Linked DNA regions of Cricetulus griseus. The protein of the gene in region 1 interacts with the protein of each later gene in a pairwise test. Links are inferred from orthologs where the notes say so. Each region holds a gene or a part of one and is shown in the gene's direction. Other genes may lie near its edges.

Evidence for each region.
Region 2: the proteins of Crk (region 1) and Ptpn4 interact in binary tests that used the Homo sapiens proteins (3 or more experiments, as listed by UniProt). The link is inferred for Cricetulus griseus from reciprocal best matches to the Homo sapiens genes CRK and PTPN4.
Region 3: the proteins of Crk (region 1) and Psmc6 interact in binary tests that used the Homo sapiens proteins (3 or more experiments, as listed by UniProt). The two-hybrid records come from large-scale screens. The link is inferred for Cricetulus griseus from reciprocal best matches to the Homo sapiens genes CRK and PSMC6.
Region 4: the proteins of Crk (region 1) and Usp53 interact in binary tests that used the Homo sapiens proteins (3 or more experiments, as listed by UniProt). The two-hybrid records come from large-scale screens. The link is inferred for Cricetulus griseus from reciprocal best matches to the Homo sapiens genes CRK and USP53.
Region 5: the proteins of Crk (region 1) and Ppfibp2 interact in binary tests that used the Homo sapiens proteins (3 or more experiments, as listed by UniProt). The link is inferred for Cricetulus griseus from reciprocal best matches to the Homo sapiens genes CRK and PPFIBP2.
Region 6: the proteins of Crk (region 1) and Dppa4 interact in binary tests that used the Homo sapiens proteins (3 or more experiments, as listed by UniProt). The two-hybrid records come from large-scale screens. The link is inferred for Cricetulus griseus from reciprocal best matches to the Homo sapiens genes CRK and DPPA4.

Annotation. Positions count from the first base shown.
Region 1 is NC_048600.1:89,144,120-89,148,307, forward strand, and holds the start of Crk (adapter molecule crk), read left to right. Parts: upstream 1-1,388; 5' UTR 1,389-1,534; coding exon 1,535-1,775; intron 1,776-4,188. UniProt on the Homo sapiens protein: Involved in cell branching and adhesion mediated by BCAR1-CRK-RAPGEF1 signaling and activation of RAP1.
Region 2 is NC_048598.1:68,819,343-68,822,842, forward strand, and holds part of Ptpn4 (tyrosine-protein phosphatase non-receptor type 4), read left to right. Parts: intron 1-1,172; coding exon 1,173-1,321; intron 1,322-3,500. UniProt on the Homo sapiens protein: Phosphatase that plays a role in immunity, learning, synaptic plasticity or cell homeostasis. Regulates neuronal cell homeostasis by protecting neurons against apoptosis.
Region 3 is NW_023276807.1:201,334,725-201,338,224, forward strand, and holds part of Psmc6 (26S proteasome regulatory subunit 10B), read left to right. Parts: intron 1-2,055; coding exon 2,056-2,123; intron 2,124-2,357; coding exon 2,358-2,472; intron 2,473-3,500. UniProt on the Homo sapiens protein: Component of the 26S proteasome, a multiprotein complex involved in the ATP-dependent degradation of ubiquitinated proteins.
Region 4 is NW_023276806.1:35,529,253-35,532,752, forward strand, and holds part of Usp53 (inactive ubiquitin carboxyl-terminal hydrolase 53), read left to right. Parts: intron 1-2,225; coding exon 2,226-2,339; intron 2,340-2,419; coding exon 2,420-2,502; intron 2,503-3,500. UniProt on the Homo sapiens protein: Deubiquitinase that mediates 'Lys-63'-linked deubiquitination of tight junction proteins, such as MARVELD2 and LSR, and which is involved in the survival of auditory hair cells and hearing.
Region 5 is NC_048596.1:92,570,286-92,574,254, reverse strand, and holds the start of Ppfibp2 (liprin-beta-2), read left to right. Parts: upstream 1-1,169; 5' UTR 1,170-1,258; coding exon 1,259-1,306; intron 1,307-3,969. UniProt on the Homo sapiens protein: May regulate the disassembly of focal adhesions. Did not bind receptor-like tyrosine phosphatases type 2A.
Region 6 is NC_048597.1:42,777,674-42,781,913, reverse strand, and holds the start of Dppa4 (developmental pluripotency-associated protein 4), read left to right. Parts: upstream 1-1,440; coding exon 1,441-1,464; intron 1,465-3,902; coding exon 3,903-4,020; intron 4,021-4,240. UniProt on the Homo sapiens protein: May be involved in the maintenance of active epigenetic status of target genes. May inhibit differentiation of embryonic cells into a primitive ectoderm lineage.

The DNA of each region.
Region 1 (4,188 bases):
TATGTGCGTGCTGGTAATTGAACTCGAGTTCTCTAGAAGGACAGTCAGTGCTCCTAACTGGTAAGCCATCTCTCCAGCCCCTAAACTGGAAGTTTTAAAGATTTTCAAAGTTTTATGCAGGGTAACAACAGATTTGTATTTAGAAAACTTGTACTGATGGCTATTACAGTGTCATCCAGCAAGCCAAACTAAGGAACAGCAGCAGGCGGGCTGTGCACTGGAATCTTAGCAATAGTGGCCAGCCAGGCATGTTGGTGCATTCTTATAATCCCTGTACTGGGGAGGCTGGCGTGGAAGGATCTTGAGTCGGCCTGGGCTACATCATAAGATTTCATGTCAAGCAGGGCATTGGTGATGGCACACGCCTTTAATCCCAGCACTCGGGTGGTAGAGGCAGGTGGGTCTCTGTGTTTGAGGCCAGCCTGGTCTACAGAGTGAGTTAGAGGACAGAGAGGGATACACAGAGAAACCCTGTTTCAAAAAAACAAAAACAATTTTTTTCATTTCAAAGTAAAAAAAAATTGAGAGAGATGATCATGATCATGAAGCAAGTGAGAGTAGGAGACATCCATCACTACAACTGAGAATATAGAGGAAACTGTCTGGTTGACATAGGAGCCTCAATCCTTTCTCCTGTCTGAGCATTTTGTTTTCTTTGCATTGAGTATCCTTCCCCACTTGCCATTCAACACCCAATCATTCAAGCCACCTCATCTGTGGACCCTTGTTTGTTGTTTAGGTTTTGTAAGGTAGGGCCTCAGACTCACAGTAATCCTCCTGTCTCAGTTTCCTAAGTGTTGGTGTTACAGTCATGAGTCACATTACCAGTCCCTTGGATCCCTCTACAGACTGCCTAGTTGATCTCTTTATATTCCTGTTTTCCATCATAGCATTTGTTGTTCCTTTGTCATTAATTGTTTCCTGGTTCCTCCCACTGGTCTGTGAATTTGGTGACTTACGGCCCAGTCTGGATCACCACTGCACCTGCAGGGAAATGTAACGTCTATGATTGTTACTGAGTAACAAGAACTTCTGCTTACCTCGGGGGAAACTGAAGAAAACAGCAGAAAAATACCAGCTTGTCAGGGAGCTTTGAGGGAGGCTAACATCTTGGGACCGTTTACTACTCCACTCCTGTAGGTCCTGGGCGAAAGACCTAGGCCACCAATCTGTCAGACACACATCAGTCAGCTTGCAGACTGAAGCTCCGCCCCTTAGTCCTAGACTCCGCCTCCCCATCCTCGGTCGCCAGGGTTTGGACCTGGAGGCGACGCCCATGAAGAAGCCGCGTGCGCACTGCGGGCCCCAAGGACTCCGTTTCCCTTCTCCCAATGGCGGGCGGCGGTCCCCCTTCCCGGCAGCCTCCCTCGGGTAGAGAGCGCGTCATTTCCGGTGGGGAAGGCCCGCGGCCGCCGCCGCCATTTCGGGCGCTGCTGGGAGGCTGACACCGGAGCCGGTCCGCTGGGCGGCGGGCGCCAGGGCTGGAGGGGCGCGCGTGGCGGCGGCGGCCCAGCGTGAAGGCGCGGAGGCGGCCATGGCGGGCAACTTCGACTCGGAGGAGCGGAGTAGCTGGTACTGGGGCCGCTTGAGCCGGCAGGAGGCGGTGGCGCTATTGCAGGGCCAGCGGCACGGGGTGTTCCTGGTGCGGGACTCGAGCACCAGCCCCGGGGACTATGTGCTCAGCGTTTCGGAAAACTCGCGTGTCTCCCACTACATCATCAACAGCAGCGGCCCGCGCCCTCCAGTGCCTCCGTCGCCCGCTCAGCCTCCGCCGGGTGAGGGACAGGCGGGCGGGAGGCCCCGGGCGGGGGTGAGGGCCGTGGAACTCTGGTCCGCTTCAGGAGGAGGGACGTGGGCAGAGAGGGCAGGAGTGACCCTGGCGGGGGAGCTGCCTTCAGCCCAGGCTGGTTCCCACCGACGAGCGGGATTGTGGGGGAGGAGGAGCTGCTCACCGAGGCCTCTGGGTGTGCCTTGGGAGCCGGGGAAGGGGAACTGCTGCGGCCCCGGGGTGGGGCTGGGCGCCAGGGTCAGGCCCAAGGGCAGGGCAGGGCCAGGCAACTTGGGGACAAAGAGTTAGTGGGGATGTTGCGGGGACACAATTTGGCAGAGGTGCCCAGAATGGATCTGCTAATCCTACAAGTGGCTTTTAGGCTTGAAACGTTTCCTGCAGTGTTAGAGCCGGTTTTGGCCATACTCCCCTGGTGGCCTTCGGTAGGAAGTCACCACGTACTGGCTGGCTGGGAGGGATGGAGACACCCTCAGGAAGCCGGTCGGTTTTTTCCTTTCTTGGGCATTTTTCCAAAATCTTTTTACCGTGTTCTTCCCTTGTGGAATACGAAGGTGGTGAACTAAGTGACTTGGTAATAGAAAAAAGCCTTCTGTGACCAGCCCAGAGTAATTGAAGCCTAGCTGGCAAACTGTCCAAGAGGTTTGAAGTGTCCAAAAGACTGCCTGCTGCAACTAGAGTTTCTAGTTTCAAAGTGATTAGTGGGGGAAAGGTTTTTTTTTTTTTTTTCCTTCAGAAAATAAACCAGGTATAAGCCAGTGAGAACAACCCTGGAAGTGAATGGAGCTTCATTCTCCTTGGGTTTAAACAGTGTCAGTCATGTACTTCTGGGTCTTTTATTGCTCAGTAAGTTGGTGTTGTAGTCAAAGTCTTCCAAGATACAAGAACAGACCTGTCTGTAAAGATAACACCAAGCATTTTAGTTATCCCACGGGGTCTTGTCAAGGATCAATGAATTGTAACCGCCTTGCCCATACTGTTGGAGTTGTCTGGCAATGTTAAGGAAATACATCCACTTAGCACTTGAGGTTTTTGAGATACAGAGTGATTCTGTGATTGCCTTTGTCTGTGTATGTATGTAATGCATCAAGTTTCTTGCTTTCTGGATGTTTGAAGTGAAAGCCTTTTTCTCCTAGATCTGAGCCAGTCTCATGAATGAAGACTCCTTGGCTAACCATAGCAGACCTGCCCTTTTTAGGATAGTCCTAACTTAGATTTATTCACTTTGGCCTGAAATGAGGTGCGATAAAGATAGTTCTTTTTGTTAGCACACACAAGTTAAGGGAAGAATTTAGTATTGAGGTCCTTTTAGTTTACACATTTAGATCTTTCTAGGTCTCATTGGTTTAATATGTAAAATAAAATAAGAATATTAATGTAGCACATTTGCCCTAAAGGTATTTGTGCCATCTGCAAGGTATCTATTTTATGTTAAGTGCAGTACTAGGATGGTATGTTGTCATTGAAATTCAATTTCCAACCACATGTCATAGTTAATGCCTGTAATCCCAGCACCTGGGAGACCGAAGCAAGATGATTTTACAAGTTCCAGGCTATCCTGGAGAACTTAGTAAGACTCTGCCTCAAAATAAAAAGTTAGGATGGGGGTGGGACTGGGAATATAATTCAGTGGTAGTTTATTTGCCTAGCATTAGGGAAGCCCAGGTTTTATTTCCAATAGTAGGGTAGAAAATTTCAGTCCTCAGCTTTCTCTCTATGTGTTTTGTTATAAAACTTGGGAATAGTAGCAGGCAGGTTTGTTAGTTTGATATTTCTCCATACCTGGGCATTGTGGTTTTATATCTCAGCAGCTCCACCTTTTCAAAATAGATGGTTGGTCTAAGAGAGGAGATTGCCAGTTTGTGGGTGGGGTAGGAAAGTTCATTGGCATTGTGGCAATTTGTTCTGTCATGTACCCTATTTTCTCTTTAGGGCAGTCAGTTCACTTGCTGTTTTTTACTTTATGATGGATACTTAATCTTTGCCCCCCCCCCATTAAGCTCTTTTTGTTTTAAAGCTACATAGGGATTACTTGAGTTTTAGAGAGGCATATATAATATTAATAGCTGACACTTATTGACTGCTTATTGTATGCCAGATGCTTTGCTGAGGACTTTCTGTGCCTTACAGAAGTTACTGTCGGTAACAATATAGTGAGTGAAATATTGCAATGTGCATTTATTAAAATATTTCCAGTTTTTGGACGAAAGAACTAGAAATCCAGTAACTTGTAAGGTCACAAATTTAGTATATAACTAAACCAGAATTTGAGCTAGACAGTGTCACCTGAGAACTGACCCGGCCCCTTATTATATAGTTTTGTTATTCTTTGTTTATTTGCTTTGAAATCCCTGAAGTGCACTTAGGAAACTCCATTCTTTTGTTTTGAGACAGAGTCTTAC
Region 2 (3,500 bases), on another chromosome or scaffold:
ATACACATACACTAACAGACAATGGATAGGTAGGTACTACTCCCATGTCTTGATTAACTTTTACTTCTGTGATCTCCCTTGGCATCTCCAGATTGAATGATGTTGAATGATAGTTACCTGTTTTAAAGTGTATGAATAAATAGTTTGATTTTATTTAGTCTTCTCATAAAGCCTTTTCAACCTAAAGATGGCCCAGTGGAGCAGTAAGTGTCATTTCATTTTTCACATGAAGGAGGGTAGCTCTGAAATATTAAATGCCATAACTTGCAATTATATCCACCATTACTCCCTCCCTCACCAAGTAGAATTAATCCTTATTCAACTTTGTGTTTTTATTCTAATTTTAATCTATATATATTTGGGAGTTTTTTATCTAAGAATTTTATTATACTTATGTATGTGTGAGTGCTTGGGGTTTTATCATGGTGCACCTGTGGAGGTCAGATGACAACTAGTAGGAATCTGGTCTCTTTTCTACCATGTGGGTTCCAGAGTTTGAGCTTAGATTGTCATTCTTGGTCACAAGCCGTCTTAGCTGCTGAACCATTTCATTCTCCTGGGGCTTTTCCTGTCTAATCTCCACAATTTCATTTGTGTCGACATGTAAAGATTATCTCATTTTTTGTTCATATACAAAAGTTGTTACTTTACCATCTTTGTTCACCTGGAATCTCTTTTAGGTAATCCTTTAAGTAGTTCTCTGACCTTAATTTATTTCTGCCTGTTGATTTGGTTACTATGCTCAAAATACTTGATAAATATAGAAATTGAGTTGTAAAAGTATAGTAATATGCTGGGTGGTGGCGGCGCACACACCAGCACTCAGGAGGCAGAGGCAGGTGGATCTCTGTGAGTTCCAGGCCAGTCTGGTCTACAAAGCAAGTTCCAGGACAGCCAGATAGCCAGCACTATTACACAGAGAAACCCCATCTCAAAGAACAAAACCAAACAAACAAAAAAGTATATTAATATAAATAACTAGTCCTTAAAAGGATACAACTATTTCTGTGAAATATTTTCCTTGTGTCGAAATACTAGATTTTAGTGAATTTATACACTATGGCAAGAAGAAAAGGGAAGGTACTTTTACTTTCCTTCTAAAATTAAAACAAGCATTTAGACTTTAAAGGTAATTCCTATGTCAAAATGTGTAACTTTTCATTTTCATTTAGAAAAATGAAAGTCGTCAACTCACTCAGATTCAGTACACAGCGTGGCCTGACCATGGAGTACCTGATGATTCAAGTGACTTTTTGGATTTTGTTTGTCATGTCCGAAACAAGAGGGCTGGAAAGGAAGAACCGATTGTTGTTCATTGCAGGTATTTATATCCTGCCCTTAATGAATGAATAATTGGGTGCTTGGGGGAATACATAGTGTATTTTGACCTTTTATTATGATTAATACTGTGATATTTAGATCGAAAGTTGTGTTCCGAGGTTGAAGGCAAAGGGGATATTATAATAGTACTGTGTCAGAAACTATGGAAAGGAAAAAAAATAGCCACTTTCTTAGCTCTTTTCCTATTTTAATATCCTGAAATTGGAATGTGTCTTATAATTGATTGTAAGTTAGATTTGATGAAATACTGCCTTTATCTTCATGTGTTTGTGTTGGTATAACAAGATACTCAAAACTATGTAGTTAATAAAAGCAGAAATAGAGTTTTCAGTTTTGGATTGCAAAACTAAGTGTGGCCAGCAGAGGTCCTTAGTACACAAGCAAGGGGAGCTAATAAAGTGAAGCTAGCCTTGTGGGCCTCTGAAGCTTAGACAGTATGGAAAGCATCAGATCCAAATTGTCATCCTTCTTTTATATTTTAAAATTTTTGAGATGAGGTCTCCTATAATATGTGCAGGTCTTGTACCTTTTTTTGTAACTGGATAACCCTGAAATCCTGATCCTCAGTCTTCCATTTCCCCAATTCTGGAGTTACACATGTGTACTGCCATTCTTGTCTTAAAAAATAAAACTTTCATGTTTTTTTTTATTTTTGAATTCCCTTGCTTAAGTTTATCTGTTTGTGTTTTTCATTATTCAACACCTTTTTTTCTTTTCATTTTTAATCTCCTGGTTTTTTCCTCCCTTTTATAATTTGTCTGTATTCCTTTTCCTTTTATTTAACATTGCTTTTTATATCTGTTTTCTCTCCTTTCCTGGCTTCTTCCTTTATCTTATTCATTACAACTTCCAAATTTGTCTGAATGATTTTTAACTTCATAGTATACTTTCCATTAGTTTTGCCATTTTCTCCTCTTTGGTCATTGATGGTGTATTATGGGCTTTGATCAATTTTTTCTTTGTTTGGTTGGTTTTACTTTTGGTTTTTTGAGACAAGGTTTCTCTGTGTAGCACTAGCTGTCCTGGAACTTGCTCTGTAGACCAGGCTGACCTTAAACTCAGATCTGCCTGCCTCTGCCTCCTTAGTGCTGGATTAAAGGCATGCAACACTAATTCCCAGCTGGGTTTTGGTCAATTTTAACTGCATATCACATTCAGTGTAGTGCTATTGTTGATAAACCAATTTGTTTTCATCTTCCTTAGTGTATTGGGGGTTTAGCCTGCAAGAGTAGGCTTCACACTCAGCAAATCTCCAAAGAAAACTAAAATGAAAATCCACACCAACAGAAGCACAAATTAGGACACAGAAATACTCCTTGATTACTGAACTCAAAGATACTAAAACAGATAAAATGTTGGGTGAATTCAAACATTTTCTTGTAAAAATAATCGATGACTTCAAAGAACATACAAAACAAACAGATTAATGAACTAAGGATTTCACATTGGGACTTGGGAAGAAAAGTAGCAGAAAGGGGGACAAAGTAAGAAAGTGGGTGGGAAAGTTAATTTGCACATGAATGAGGAAATAAAGAAATTGAGATTAATAAAACAGAAATGTTGGAAATGAAAAACTGAGTAGAGCAAAATTTAAATATGGAATGTAGAAATCACCAATAGGCTAGACCGTAGCACAGATTAAACAGAGACAGCTATTGGGATTAAAGTGGGAGATTAGAAAGCAAGAGCATCCAAGCCACTAGAGAGTTCTTAATTCTACCAAGGCTAGGGGAGATCCTGTCCTCAGTATGACTGCAGTCTGCAATGCTCTCTCCACCACTGCCTGGTCTCTATGACTAACTAATATGGCTGGCTAGCTTTGCACTCTGATCTTCATGCAAACTTTATTTTTGTTAGATCATCAACAAAATATCACCACACTAGACTAAGCAAAAACAATAAAAGAACATCAGGATATGGACAAAGTTTGAAGAATGCTATACAAACATGATGGTTTAACAGCAAGCAAACAAAAAGACACAAACATAACTTTCAAAAACTGTAGGATATGCTCAAGAGAAATAACCTAGAAGTCTGTGGGATGGAATGAGTCAATGTAAAAGCTAATGGTCTAGAAAATGTATTCAATAAAATCATAGCAGTTTCCAAGTCTAGGGAAGAAATAAACATCTAATCCCAAGTGGTATTTAGAGCCCTAA
Region 3 (3,500 bases), on another chromosome or scaffold:
AGGTTCAACCCTCATAATGGGCTTGGCTTTTTCAGAAGTGAGGGAGATGTGAGCTTGGGTCCTTCCTCTTGAAAACAGCTCTTACAAGCTGAGCCACATCCTTACTTCATTTTGAGATGACTAAGGTAACACCATTCTCTCCTGGTGTTATTTTGTGCCTACCTGGTCACTTCTCAGCCTTCCACCCAAACAACCACATTCACCTTGATAATGCTTCTGGGACTGTCCACAACCTTGATCATGTTCCAAAGGTATTATATAGTGTCTGGAAGATACTGATGGGGCCTGTAAAAGAAGCAGATGTTACTAGGCAACTCCAAATCCCTTACTAATCTTCCCCATTCCTCCAGTCCTGATGTAATTAATGTTTTGTCTTGCAAAAATTCTGTGCCCCTGTGCTTGGGCACCAAGAAACTTTGCAGAGATGAGAGCCCATTCTTGGTCTAGCCATTAATAAAGGACTCGGCACTTTAATTGATTTAGTCAGTGCCATTATCAGTAACTATCTTGCATGGATCATTTCATTTTTGTTTTAGGTATTTTTAAAAAATAATTTATTTAAATTTATTTTTTGTGCATTGGAGATACAGACAGTTGTGAGCTATCATGTAGATGTTAGGAATTGAACTTGGGTCCTCTGGAAGAACAGCCAGTGCTCTTAACTGCTGGGCCATCTATCTCTCTATAATTTCAGTTTTAGTGAGCACATTCTCCTAAATTTGTAACTCATTGTAGAATCTTATACAAGTTATGATTCTGAAAATGTAATGGCAAACAAATTTTGAAACCATTGGAAAGTAACTTTTTATTTTTGACAAATGCATCAAAGTTGACTACAATAGCCTATAAGTTACTATGTAAAGGTGTGCTAATAAAAATAATAAAAATATTCAACCTAAGGTATTCAATATAAGGTCTGTTGTATAAAAGTCAAGGTAGTTTGAGCTTTTTGTTTTGTCTTTTGCATTCTGGTTTTGTTTTGTTTTGGTTGAGACTGGTTTTGGTTTTTCAACACAGGGTTTCTCTGTGTAGTCATGTCTGTTCTGAAACTCATTCTGTGGACCAGACTGGTCTTGAACTCCAACAGTTCTTCTTGCCCTGCCTCCCCAGTACTGGGATTAAATGCATGCACCATCACCATAGGCTTGCCTTCCTTTTTATTTTGATGAAAGTCTCTTAAGAGGAAACAATGGTTTCCTTATCTTTTATGATTATGCATATAAATATTTTCTTCTAAAAGATTTTCAAAATATATTTAATGGATACACTTACAAACTGCACCCCCCCCCAACATAAATATTTTGGTGCCAGTTCCCAAAGTAACTTTTTTCTATAGATTTTTGAATCAAAATAATGAATAAAATTATATTAAATAATGAGTCTTGAGAATAAAATTCCAAAGTCTATCCCTTCTTCAAAAACATGGCCACTTTAATGGATAAAGATACTTGCTACCAAGCCTGACCACATGAATTCAATCTCAAGAACCCATGATAATGGTAGAAGAAGAGAACCAATTCCTGCACATTGTCCTCTGACTATATATGCACACTATTGTTACACACACACACATAAATGTTAAAAGTTTAAAAAACTAAAAGGGCAATTGTTACCTCAAGTTTTATATATTAGTGATCTCTGATTTCATACTGAGGTTGCACAAAGAACACTCTTATAAGGGTCACATAGAAATAACTTTAAAGAAGTTACTTCTTTATTGGCTGTCCTTTTTTTTTTCCTTGTTTTTTTGTTTGTTTGTTTGTTTTGTTTTGTTTTGTTTTGTTTTTAGTTTTTCAAGACAGGGTTTTTCTGCATTGCTTTGGAGGCTGTCCTGGAACTTGCTCTGTAGACCCAGGCTGGCCTCGAACTCACAGAGATCGGCCTACCTTTGCCTCCTGAGTGCTGGGATTAAAGGTGCAGCTTATTGGCTGTTCTATTAACAGGGCATTTATAATGTAATCTTTGTGTTTTCTATGATGTATAAAAATATATATGACTTGTATAGTGTTTCCCTTTTAAAATGTTTGTGTAACACTTTTTGTTTTATAAAACCAGCTTGATAAAAGTAAGCTGAAGCCAGGAACAAGAGTTGCTTTGGATATGACTACACTAACTATAATGAGGTGGGTTTCTTATTGTTTAGTTTGTTTCATTTTCAGATGGAAAGTTTTCTAAAAATACAGGATTTGTGCAGTCATCAAAGATTTTACTACTTCTTACCATTTACTTATTTACTAAATTAAATATTTTTAGAAAGTACTTACAGGTGCTTGCATAAGTAAATTGTTTATACTTACTATGTAAACTGAGAGGAAATAAGTCTTTTGAAAGAAGAACACCTGATTTTTTCATTTTAGGTATTTGCCAAGAGAGGTGGATCCTTTGGTTTACAACATGTCTCATGAGGACCCTGGAAATGTTTCTTATTCTGAGATTGGAGGGTTGTCAGAGCAGATTCGGGAGTTACGAGAGGTGAGTTCTATTTCTCTATCTGAGACTACTGCACTACTGCTTTTTGGATACCTGAAGAGAGAAACACAATGCAAAAATCTTTCTTTTTAGTTTGTGTATATTAATATATTTGAAATTCTGACTGAGAGTAGCAGTGAATTTTAACTATCGACCTAGTTAGTACTTGTTATTTTGGAGATGTTTAGTGTTAGGAAAATTCCTCTTGTGGCAAAAAAGAAAAAGGAGGTGAAGAAAAGGGAAAGTGAATAATGATTGATATAATCTAATGCCCTTGCCATTTATAGTTTTTACTGTCTTTAGTGTACCTAGGTCAGAGCACATAGGGCAACCCACTATGTGGTTTTTTTTCATAAAGACAGTAATATTGACATCTCAGTATAATAGGAATTATTGTTACCTTTGGCGTGTATGTTTTTATTTATTCAAACTATTTTCAAACTATTTGTTGCACTTTAGGAAAGTACTGGCTATAGAAGTCACTTAAAGTTTTTAGACTTTTTTTTTTTAATTTAACTTTTTGGGTTTTTCTATGTAGCCCTGGCTGTCTTTGTAGACTAGGCTAACCTCAAATTCACAGAGATCCGGCTGCCTTTGCTTCTCAAGTCTAGAACCACCACCATCCTGCTCAATTTTTAAGCCTTTTTTTTTTTTTTTTTTTTTTTTTTTTTTTTTTCGAGACAAGGTTTCTCTGTGTACCTTTGGAGCCTATCCTGGCACTCACTCGCTCTGGAGACCAGGCTGGCCTCGAACTCACAGCGATTCGCCTGCCTCTGTCTCCCGAGTGCTGGGATTAAAGGCCTGCGCCACCAATGCCTGGCTAATTTTTAAGCTTTTAAGGGATGGAATCAGGTTAGGATTGCCTGGTCTTGTAACCCAGAAAGTTACATTGTGGTATTGATTTATTTTCCCTGTTGATAGCCTAAGTATGATGAATGACTGAGAAGGGTTGGGAGTAGTTCATAGTGGTTCATAATTTTTAGGCCTAAGCTCATTAAACTTTCTGAAAAGTATAGGCTCCTTGGGCTGTT
Region 4 (3,500 bases), on another chromosome or scaffold:
TCACATGATAAGTCACATAGTTTCTCTTAGGCTAGGGATGTCACATTGACTGGCCAGTGAATAATGCTTGGCCATGCATGTTGCCTAAATAGGTACAGTTCTCAGAAAGAAAATGACATTGCAATTCAAGCCTTAACAGTCAGCTATACTGTGAGTGGTAGGGAGTACACGGAGGAAGTCCATTGCTCCAGGGAGTTTGTCTACTAACGTCACTTTTGGCTCTGACCTTGAATCAGCAAAACAGCTGGGAAAATGACCTCATGTATTTGTCTCTAGGGGCAACCAGCCTGCTTGGAATTTGTTGTCTTTGTGGCTAAGAAAACTTATTGCTTTCCTATGTCAGTCTCAATAATGAAAGATATTCATTATTCTATTCATCAAAATTATGCAGATTAAACAGAAATCATCTTCTTGACCAGCCACAGTTATATGTGTGCCCAATAGATGGAATATTTACGTGAGATAAACACATAAGCAGTGGGAAAACACCCACAGCAGTTCTTAGGGAAGAAATGCAGTGGCACATGAGAGAAATTACAGATACAGGCAACCAGTTTTCAGAGTCGGTGGTCCTGTAAGCCTTGCTTGACATGATTATCTCCATCAGAATTATTTGTCTGCTGGCTTGACACCTGAATTATCAATTGCCATATGCTGTATACTTCCCTGGCCCCCTGCAGTGCCCTGTTTTTAAGTTGGGTTGTTTGCTTTCTTGTTTAATTTTTGAATTCTTTATATATTCTAGATACTAACTCTGTTAGATATATAACTAGTAAAGATTTTCCCCAGTCTGTAGGCTGCCTCTTTATTCAAGTAATAGTGCCCTTTGCTGTACAGAAACATTTTAGTTCCCTGAGGTCCCATTTGCAAATTGTTGTCTTAATGCCTGTGCTATTGATGTTCTGTTTACAAAGTCTTTTGCTGTGCTAATGAGTTCAAGTGTATTTTCTACCTAGCAGCAAACCTTCTGTGCAGTTACAGGATGCTCACAATCTTCAGGAGTCTAGGAAAGGTGCTCAGGGCTTTTCTTCAAGTAGTGGGTGCTGGTAGACTTGGTGATAGTTGTCTGGGATCCCTATGTGAAGAGGAAGGCCAAGAGTGGAGGGCTGGAAGGCAGGTGCTGGCTACGTGGTCCTCAGGCAAGCTTCAGGTATGGGTGGCATTGCTGATTTGGAGAGAGGATGGTCCTTGTGTAGTAGGGATGAGTGGAGTTGGAGCAGGAGCCTGGTGTCTGCCTCGAGAAGGGACCAGGTGTTTGCAGTAGAGATGGATAAAGCTGGCCCAAGTGAGTGGAACTGAGTTATATGGGGAATATAATCTGTCTTATATAGGCATGGTTCAGGGTCCCTCAGAGTGGGTAGGTAAGAATAGTGCAAGTTGTGGCTCCCTCCTGTTCAAAGAGGAGGTGAGTAGCAAGGGATGCAGCAAGTAAAAAGACGCATTCTTAAACAACAGTAACAAAAAGATTGTCATTTACTACTGATCCATGGTATCCATTTGAAATTTCATGGATTTGTTGCAAATGACATTGCTTGAATTATGGTATAAGTAAAGTAGGAATATAAAAAGGAAATCAGGATTGGGAACATGGTCAATCTGGTTTACCTAATAAGGTTAAGGACCTGAGTTTGATTCTCAGTTCTATGTAAAATTGCTAGCCATGTTCATACACACTTGTAATCCCAGAGCTAAGTGAGGAGGCAGAGGCAGGAGAATCTCTAGTGCTCATTGGCTATCCCCTTAGCTTCATGGGTAAGCTCCAGGCCAGTGGGAGACATTGTTTCAAGGTATGTTGTGGATGTTCCTGAGGATGACTGACACTTGAAGTTGTCTCCTGACCTCCACATGAACATACACTGTGTGTGCACGCTCACATGTGCTCGCTCACACATACATACACACACACACACACACACACACACTTTTTAAAAAGTTAACCTGACTTTACTTAATAGGAGAATGATTGGAATGTAGGAAATGTTTCTGATACTGAATTCTAGATATCAGCCACTGTGATTGGTATTTAAAATAAGGCTTTAAATGTATTTTTTCCCTTAACTTTTAAAGCTAGTACTGTAGAAAGTGAATACTTGAACATCTGAAGTGATTATATAGATTATGGTATTCATTGCGTTTACACATGGAAAATGTTCGGTTAAAAATAGTTATATATTAAAGTGTTCTCTGCAAGGTCAGAAACTTACTTCATTTGTATTTTTAATTAGGAAAATATATTGGCGAGGATTCATTTTCACTTGGTGCCGAGCAGGGATGCAGACATGTGCACATCCAAATCATGTGTCACTCACCAGAAGTTTGCTATGACTCTGTATGAACAGGTAAGATGTCTTCATTATCTAATTAAATGCTAGACTTCTGTCTCGGGATTGATAGAGTAAGCCTATGTTTTTGCCTGTAGTGTGTGTGCCGCAGCTGTGGAGCATCTTCAGACCCTCTACCCTTTACAGAGTTCGTGAGGTACATTTCTACGACAGCCCTGTGGTAAGCCCTCTCAGCGTATTTAACAAAGTATAAGAGCATGTGTAAGCACAGTGACATTTATTCTGTAAAGTTTTTAACATAGTATGGATTTCTCTGTGTGATGCTATCAAATGGGCTTTCACACGGGAGCCTAAGAGCTAGCTTTCTCAGCTGGAGGCTTAGGACTTAGCATAATATCAGTTACCTGAAGTGCTTGACTAAAGTTTCAAATTTTGGTTTGGACTATTTGCATATTTGTAATATAGTATGTTTCGGGTACAACCCAATGCTAAAGATGGGATTCGTTTGTTTAATACATATCTTATATCAATAATCTGATGGTAATTTATGAAGTATTCATAGAGAACCTGCATCTTAAATGTGACCCATTATGTAAACTTAGGTTTAGAATTTACCATTCGTAACATGATTTCAGCACTCAAAAAATTTCAGATTTTGGAGCATTTCAGACTAAATGCATTGTTAAGTAAAATGTACAGCATTTATATCTTTTGTATTCATAGCTTGAAATGAGACACTCATTGGTAAATGGACTGCACATGATATCTTCATCTTTACTAAGATGGTCCCTTTGTGTTAGCCTTGTTTCCCACCACATTCATTGTCTCCTTATGATGGTAAAAGCTAGGCTAAAGGAAAAAGAAAGGAAATGTGAACATAATCCTTATGTAGGTTCTTGGATTTGAAACCTCAACAGTCACCTTAAGATTCTGCCATGCTTACTGCCTGCCTGTCTGCCAGCTCCTTCCCTCTCCATGAAACAGCTAGATAAGATGCAAAATCTGTCCTAGACTTTATGTACCACCAGTCAATCAAAGTTACTCAGAAGTCCTTTACGGAGGATGGAGATTGAAACTCACATCCATCTGATTGCAGAACGAGCAGTTACTCTGGTACTGTCAGTTCTGTGAAATGGCCTTGTGCAGTGTGAATGCTTATCAGAGTTTGAGTGTGTTCTAGCATACCTGTGCAGTATGCTAGGGGAGTACTTTTGGTTG
Region 5 (3,969 bases), on another chromosome or scaffold:
GGCAAGGGAGAAAAGCTGTTTTAGGGGGAGCTCTCAAAGGAGATGTCAAAATATGAGGAGAAGAGGGGTGGTGGCATCTGGGGAGTGTTAGTGGGGTACCCTGGAAAGGCAGCATGTGACCTACCATTAGGAAAGCATAGAGTTTCCCCTCTCCTCCAAGCTTACCAGGGCTCCTTCTTACCTGGAGCCACTCCCCATGTCTCCCTGCTTTGTAAAGTAGTCCTCCAGAGGCAAGGAAGCAGTCCTGAGCCTGGACAGAAGCAGTAATCCCCTGGTATGGTATGTGGCCTCCAGGGAACCCAAATGGTGGTGGCTCACAGCCCAGAGCAGCACTCCCTGAGGGAGCCAGTAGTAAAGGTCTCAAGGTTGTAGCAGTTGATCTCTGGTGGATAGTGCTAGCCGTGCCAAGGACAACAGACAGCCTACCTAGGCCTGGCATACCTCTGAGCCCAGAACTGGGACAGGAGCTGGTTCTAAATCTGTCCTTTTTGGAAGCCTGTGGCCCATCTGTGAGAGGGGTAGGTGTGGGCTTCAGGGTGTGTGTGTGTGTGTGTGTGTGTGTGTGTGTGTGTGTGTGTGTGTGTGATTGCGTGTGTCTGTGTCTGTGTGTGGGAACCAGAAAACTCCTCTGGGAGTAGTGCTTATTTTTAGTTGTCTCCCTAGTCCCAAATAAACTGAGAGCAGCTGGGAGCCTGTGGGTAAATGCAGAGGGAAGCAGAGACAGGAAATCGGGGGCTCTCGGTAATGAGTTCCAGCCACACCAGAAAGGAGAAGCCAGACAAGGCATTTTCTTCCGGACTGTTTCCCTCTGGCAGGCTCTGGTATTATCACTGAGAAGGTTCCCATTGCCCACGTGTGAGTGAGTGTATGCGTTCAAGTGTACGTGTGTTTACAACTCCAGCCTCCCCTTTTGATGAGGTTTGATTGCTCTGAAGGACTCTGAAGTCAGTCTTGGTCTCTCTCTCTGTGTGTCCATGTGTCTGTGTGCCTGCCTGCCCGCCTGCCTGCCTGCCTCTTGTGGGGGCGGTGGGGGAGGACCCTGGAGCAGCACCGTCAAGTCTGAGTCTTGTGTATCTGAGCCTGTTAGGGAAAGAAAGGCTATAGGACACAGGCCAGGGAAGTAGGGAAACTGGAACACAGCTTGCTGTTCCTGCGGGGGAGGGGGCAGAGGCAGGGAGGAGGAGAGGGCTTGAGCTCCAGCCAGAATAAAGGGCTTTTTCTCAACTAAGGACTCTAACTGCTGACATGGGTCCCCAGCATGGATGGGGACATTGATGTTTACAAGCATTTCTCGTGGCTGAAGAGGGTAAGTGACTGGCTGCTTTGTCTGGGTCTCTCTGGAGATGAGTAAGGAGAGAGACACTTTGGGGGTGTTTGGCTGTGTGTGTGTGTGTGTGTGTGTGTGTGTGTGTGTGTGTGTGTGTGTGTGTGTGTGTGATGGGGGGGAGGCAGTTGTCCAGAGAACCCTTTTGTGGCCAAGTTCTTCATGAGACTCTAATTATAGACACTAAGGGAGAAAACAGGCAGCTGCCTTTGTTTCTGCCCTGACAGCCTAGTGAATGAACCTCTGTACTGAAAGGCAAGAATAGAGTGAGGAAAGTTAAGTTATTTTAATGTTGGCTCTTCAGCATTCAGGATCTCTATACACTGTGGCCTAAAAATTATGCCTACTGTTTTTGGGTCTTAAGACACATAGAGGAAGCTGCTACTGTCTTAAATGCCTGAATTCGGAAGTCATTTAACTCATTCTCATCCTTGATGCTATCTGGAGTAGAGGGTATATCTGTTGCCAGCCCAGTGAGCTTCTGTGTTTCTGGAGGAAGGCTCCAGGGTAGTTCTCTTTGAAGTGTACTGAAGCCCAGGATTTCATTTGCAAGTTGTTTGTGCCATTTCTGTAGGCATTTGTGTAGAGTGCGAATCAGCAGTGAATGAACCTTGGGGGCCAGATGACATTGTGCTCAGAACTCTGGTGTTCTCTTGTAAGGTGGGCTCACATTCATTTTATAGTGGGGAATTCTAGGCTGAATATGTTTGAGAGGGAGGAAGGTCAAAAGCACCTGACAGATAAGAGGTTTGACATTGTAACTGCAGAAGGACGGGAAGTGTCCTGCTTGGAAGGGACACACAGAACTTCACTGTCCTGCTTCCAAGCACTGGGCTGGCTGGCTTTTTGTGTGCCCTCTGCAGCTGCAGTGCTTCCTTAGCAAACACTCAGCTCCTGGTACTGTGTGGACAGCAGTGAGCAAAGCTGAACCAACCTTAGAGGGGAAAGGAGGCCAAACAGTCCCAGGAAATAGACATCAGACTACAAGCACACAGTAAGAAAGGCTCAGGAGGGCTGTTGATGATTGCAGAAGAGGGTCAGGAGCCCTCTTTGAGGACATAGCACTTTACAGAAACATGAAGCGAGTTGTGTGGAATATAGGGTGAGAAATACTCCAGGCCAAAGCAAAGGTGGGTGGTGCATGTGCAAAGGTCTTGAGGCAGGAGAGGCTGGCTGGTTTCAAGACAGAGAAAGCCATTGTTGCTGGACTCAGTAATGGTGGATAGAGACAAGTGGATGCCAGATCACACAGAACAGTGAAGGCCATGTAGGAGCAGTAGGTAACAGTGGTCTGTAATGATCAGGTTTGTAGTGAGGAAGCAACATGGGATGTAGCATGGGAACCAATTTATATTTAAGAAGATCCCTCTAACTGTGATGTGGTATGCGGTAAGCAGTGTTGGGAAAGTGAGGCATCTGAGACATGATTAGAGAGTTGGATGGGCGATAGGAGGAGCCAGCTAGTACCAGATTTCATTTAGCAAAACCCAAGAGAGGCCGAGGCCATTGCGAATGCTGGTTAGTTAGTGGTCCAGCAGCTTGGTCTTGAACCATTTTCTCTGTCTCTTGGTCCTGTTCCTTTCTCAGTTCTGCCAAATATGCAGAAAATGATTGGTTCAGAATGTAACAGAAATTCTGTCTGTATTCAACCCTTGCTTTGCAGGGAGTAGGGCATCTCAGCCACCAGAGAGCATGCTGAACAACAGGACCTTTTGGCAAAGATCTGTGCCATACTAAGCTATGTTAGGGAGATCCTGGAGTGTGCAGGGAAAGAGCATACTTAGTCTTTGTGTCCTGATTTCCAAAATGAAGCTTTTAACTGAGAGGGTCTGCAAGTCACCATGTGCCTGGGATAGGAACCGTACCTGTACCCCACACAGGTGCTGTGACTGGTCCTTTGACAGAGGTTCTTTCCTTAGGAAGCAATTCTGGCCAAGTGAGAATGTTCTGTCTCTCCCAAGATGCAGGATGGACTCTTCAAGCCAGACAACAACTTCAGAACCTCCACAGAACCCATAGCAAATATATTTTCTCCACTTTTAGGATTTTAAGAGTCATTAACAACAATAAATCAAACATCAAGTATTGGATGTATCCTAGCTAAAATATATTCTTTGGTGGTAGGATCTCTTCTTTACCCCAGATCCTCCTGCTCCTTCTGTATGTGAGCCTCTCGGACTCATCTTCAGCTTCTTCAGACTTTGGTTCCAACCTGTACCTTTTGCATTTCATTCTTTAGTAACCCCCAAGTATATATTTCCTGTTATTTTTATTTTTTAAGCTTTATCTCAGTTGTCCCTTTCTCTAATTCCCACCTTTATCTGATTCCATTAGGTCCATTGTTTGCAACCATTCCTTTGCTAACCTAGTCCCTTAAGGGCCCTCCAGTCCAGGTGTCCATCACTTCCCACCTATCTTCGTATGTGCTTACACAGAATACAGCTTTCGCTAAACATGCTTTTGGAGGTAGAGGCACTGTCTCTTTCATTCTTCTGCTTAGAAGAGGTAGGTTCTAGAAAAAGAGATTCCTGTATGAATTGTGAGCCTAGTGCACATGGTAGGAGCCTTGCCCTATGAGAAGAGGGTAATGTCTTGTAAGTGTCAACTATTACCAATCCCTCATTTACCACGCCCAAGAGAAGTCA
Region 6 (4,240 bases), on another chromosome or scaffold:
CAGAAACAACACCTTGAGATGTTAAACAACTCTTCCATTGATCTTAGCGTGGAGAACCAATGTCTTGCCCGTCAGGCCTGGCATAGACTTTCTTCCTTTCGAAACACCTGGAACCCACATGGTGGAAACAGTCCTCAGACCTTCTGTGGATTGCCTTGGCACATGCATGACCAGCCCTCACACACGATAAACAAATAAATTCCCATGTCTCCAATCCCATTGATGTTTTCTCCAATTACACTGAGACAAAGCAAAATTCAACATGAACTTTTCCTTTTTGTTTGTTTCTCTGTGTAGCCTTGGCTGTCCTGGGCATGCACTAGCACCAGGCTGAACTTTGCTTTTTAAATTTTTATCTTATTTATGTTTATTATTATTATTTTGGGGACAGGGTTTCTTTGTGTAGCCGTAGCTGTTCCGGAATTCTCTCTGTAGATCAGGCTGGCTTTGAACTCATAGAGATCCACCTGTCTCCTTAGTGCTAGGATTAAAGGCTTGTACCACCACTTCCCAGTGGACTTTATAAACTATTAAGAGTAGGCAGATAGAAATGTACAGTTTTAAACCAGGTTTAGAGGCCTGAATTCCAGCACTGGGCAGGCTGAGACAGGAAGAACAGAAATGCAAACCTTGGCCAGGTGTAGTGAGGCCCCTTGATCCCAACATTCAGAAGCAGAAACTGGAAGATCTCTCTGAGCCCCAGGCCAGCCGGAACTTCATGAGACTGAAAGGAATTCACAAAAGTTGTCATTTTATTGGCTGTGGCTGTGGCTCAGTGGTAGACGGATTAGTATGCATAAACAAGGCTCTCCAAGAGCACTATCACCATAAAAACAAAACAAGCCCCCTGTGGTTTACAGAAAAGGAATTCACAAGGAACGAGAAATGGGTTGTTTTCCTCAAATCCAGGACTCTAATTTCATTCGCTAATTAGACAGGCTGTTCACACAGCTTGTTCGGAATTCTTTTGGGACTCCACTTTCCCTTTTCTTTTCTTTTCTTTTTTTTTTTTTTCTTTTTTTAAGATCAAGCTGGCCTCTAGGAGCTCAGAAAGATGCTCCTGTCTCAGGCAGCGGAACGGCAGGATTAAAGGCTTGTGCCACCCAACAATACTTGTAGTTTTTAGTTCCCCAGGAGCAGGGTGTGGCGGCTCATGACTCTAAGTCACACCTTTCTATGGCTGAGCAGACCCACCCTGGGAGTTTAGCTCATCTGGGCTGCAAAAGTAAGTTCTAAGCCAGTCTTCATTAAACACTAAAAAGCCTGCCACCGCCAGACTTCAGCACCAAAAATTGTTGGGGAGTGGGATCACGAGGGTGGTGGACGGAAGACAGCATCAAGGCAACAGGAAGTAGGAGGAGATTTCGAAAAGCTCACTGAGGCCAGAGGTCGTTTGGAAGCTGGAAGAATCTTCTTTCAGCGGTCTCATCTGATTTGAAGATGGAGCATGCTGAAAGCAAGGAGGTGAGAGCTGTTTTGTTTTGTTTTGTTTTGTTTGTGGCTCAGCTTTCTAAATAGGTGGGTCTCGTGCACACTCGGCCTTTGTTTGGGGGAGAGGAAGAGAACGAGAATTTGTTCCGTGCAGGTGTAGGGCTCAGCAGCGGGGCGCTCTTATGGCCTTAGACGAGGCGCCCCAGGGCCTGACTGCTGTAGGTGTAGTAGAAAGGGCGGTTGTGTTTTGGAAAGGGATGTTTTGCTTGGAAGGAATTTAGAGTACTGTGGCTGGAGGAAAGTGGTCACAAGGTAAAGCAGGTAAGATGAACCAGAGGCTTTTGGATAGCTGTCTGCTATATACCGGTGGAGAGCCAGAGGCCTTGGCCCACGAATCCTAGCTGAAGGGTTTCTAGGGCTTTCCAAGGGGAAGGCAGACTCAGAGGGACAAACCTTGCTGGTGCCTGACTGCAGGAGCCAGACTCGTGAGTGTGCTCCAGGTCTCCTTCCCAAGTTCCCGTCATTTCCAACTTTATTGTGTAAAAATTTTGTTAGGTCTAAAACTGAATTATTTGTGAAAAGGACACGCAAATGTAAAGCTGGATTGCGAATGTGAAGCTAGTTCCTATTGAGATGCAAAATAGCATCCAAATGTTAATTTATCTCACACTGCTGCTCTTGGGGGTGGAAGTCTGGCTTGGAAAGGCCTTACGTTTGGGAGCAAACTGACCAGGGTTTGCTTTTATTCATATATTTACTTATCTGCTGTTTTGAGACAGGGTTTCTCAATGTAACTGCCCTGACTGCCTTGGAACTCACTCTAGCCTCCTATTCACAGAGATCTGCCTGCCTCTGCATCCTGGATACTGGAATTAAAGGCACGGGTCACCACCACCACCCAGTTTATTTATAAAATAAGTTTATTTTACAACCCAGTGGTGGTGTCCTCCCTCCTCTCTTCCTAAACCTTCCCCCCAAGCCTGCCCCCGCCCTTTCGGTTCAGGAAAGGGCAGGTCTCCCATGAGTATCAACAAAACGTGGAATATCAAGTTGCAGTAATACCAAACACCTCCCCATGTATTAAGGCTGGGCAAGGCCACCCAGTCTGTGGAGTAGGGTCCCTTGCCTGTAAAGGAGTTTGAGATAGCCCCTGTCCCCGTTGTTAGGGATCCCCCAAGAGGACCAAGCTACCCAACTGTGTAACCTATGCAGGGTACCTAGGTCCCATGCAGGCTCCCTGGTTTTCCATTCAGTCTCTGTGAACTCCTATGAGCCCAGATTAATTGATTCGGTGAGTTTTCTTGCAGTATCTTGACCCCTCTGTCTTCTACAATCTTTCCTCCCCATCTTCTGCAGGATTCCCAGAACTCTTAATGTTTGACTATGACTCTGCATCTGTTTCCATCAGTTGCTGGATGAAGCCTCTCTACTGACAGTCTATGAGTATAGCAGAATATCGTTAGGCACCATTACATTGATAACTCCCCTCCCCCCGTAGTCGTATTTGTTTCTGTCCTAGGTCTCTGGGTCATCCAGCCTGTGGGTTCTGGTGTTCCGAGCAGTGTTGGGGTGTGCTCATTCTCCTGCCATGGGTTTTAGGTGGCCTGGCAAGAGACCCCACTCTTGTGGAGTTCTGCTCACAGAAGGGACCTCATGAATGGTTGCAGTCAGTCGACACGTAGAAATGAGGCAGTATGTGGTTAATTGACTGCAAAGAGATTCCAGCAAAATAACACTTGAAATGAGACCAAAGGAGTAAGGTATAAGAATTGAAGTAGACTTTTTGGGCTTAGAACCAAGGTCTGGGGAAAAACAATCTTTGGGGTGAGAGATAAAATGGAGGAATATGCAGGCTGCTTTCCCCCAAAAGCAGACTAGCACTCTATTGTCTTTTGTCACTTTCTCCCTTTTGCTTTTGTTTATATCTCATCTTGTACTTTTGATTTTGTTCTTTAGCCTCAACTTGGCCTGAGGCTCATTATGGCTTCTAACTCCCTTGGTGACCCTCCACTTGCTGCCCAAGGCTAAGATTGCAACTATAACAACGTATTTTTTTTTTCTCTTTCCTTCAAAGAGTCTCACAGGGGACTCACAAATTGTTCACACGCTTTTAATCCCAGCACTGGGAGACAGAGGTGGGTGGAACTCTGTGGTGAGTTCCAGGACAGCCAAGGCTGTTGTTACACACAGAGAAACCCTGTCCTTGAAGAAGAAGACAAATCTCCTAGTGCTAGGGTTAAAATTGTGTTGCCAACAAGCCTGTTTTTCCTGCTGGCACCCTCTCATTTTCCCCCAACCATTGTTTCCTTATTTCATTAAGTCAGACTGCTTATTCAAATGATGGCCCCTTAGAATTCACACTGGCAGCCATATGCAGTGACCTCATGAGGACCATAGATGTTAGTTTAGAGCAAGGAAGGAGATATGCTGGTTCAAGACACCAGATAACTGTGTAACTCCTCCATCCACAGTGCAGCAGCACAGGAGTGGCTTGCGAAGAGGAATGCCAGATGTTTAGTCAACCAAGTACATCCTTTGTAAAAGTTCCAGCAACGGGGAAGAGACAGAAAAAGACAGTGAAAGAGAATGGTGAGAGTCTGTGAATGCTTAGTCCTACGTCTTTTTATCTAAAACTTAAGAAATCTTCCTTAAGCATAGAAAAAGGGTGGAAAAGGCCTGTATGTACTCCTGAGGTCTAAGAGTTCCCAGCTCTCTTTTAAAAAGAAAGAAAAGGGGTGGGGCTGGAGAGATGGCTCAGAGAGGTTAAAGCGCTGGCTGCTCTTCCAGACGTCCTGATTTCAATTCCCAG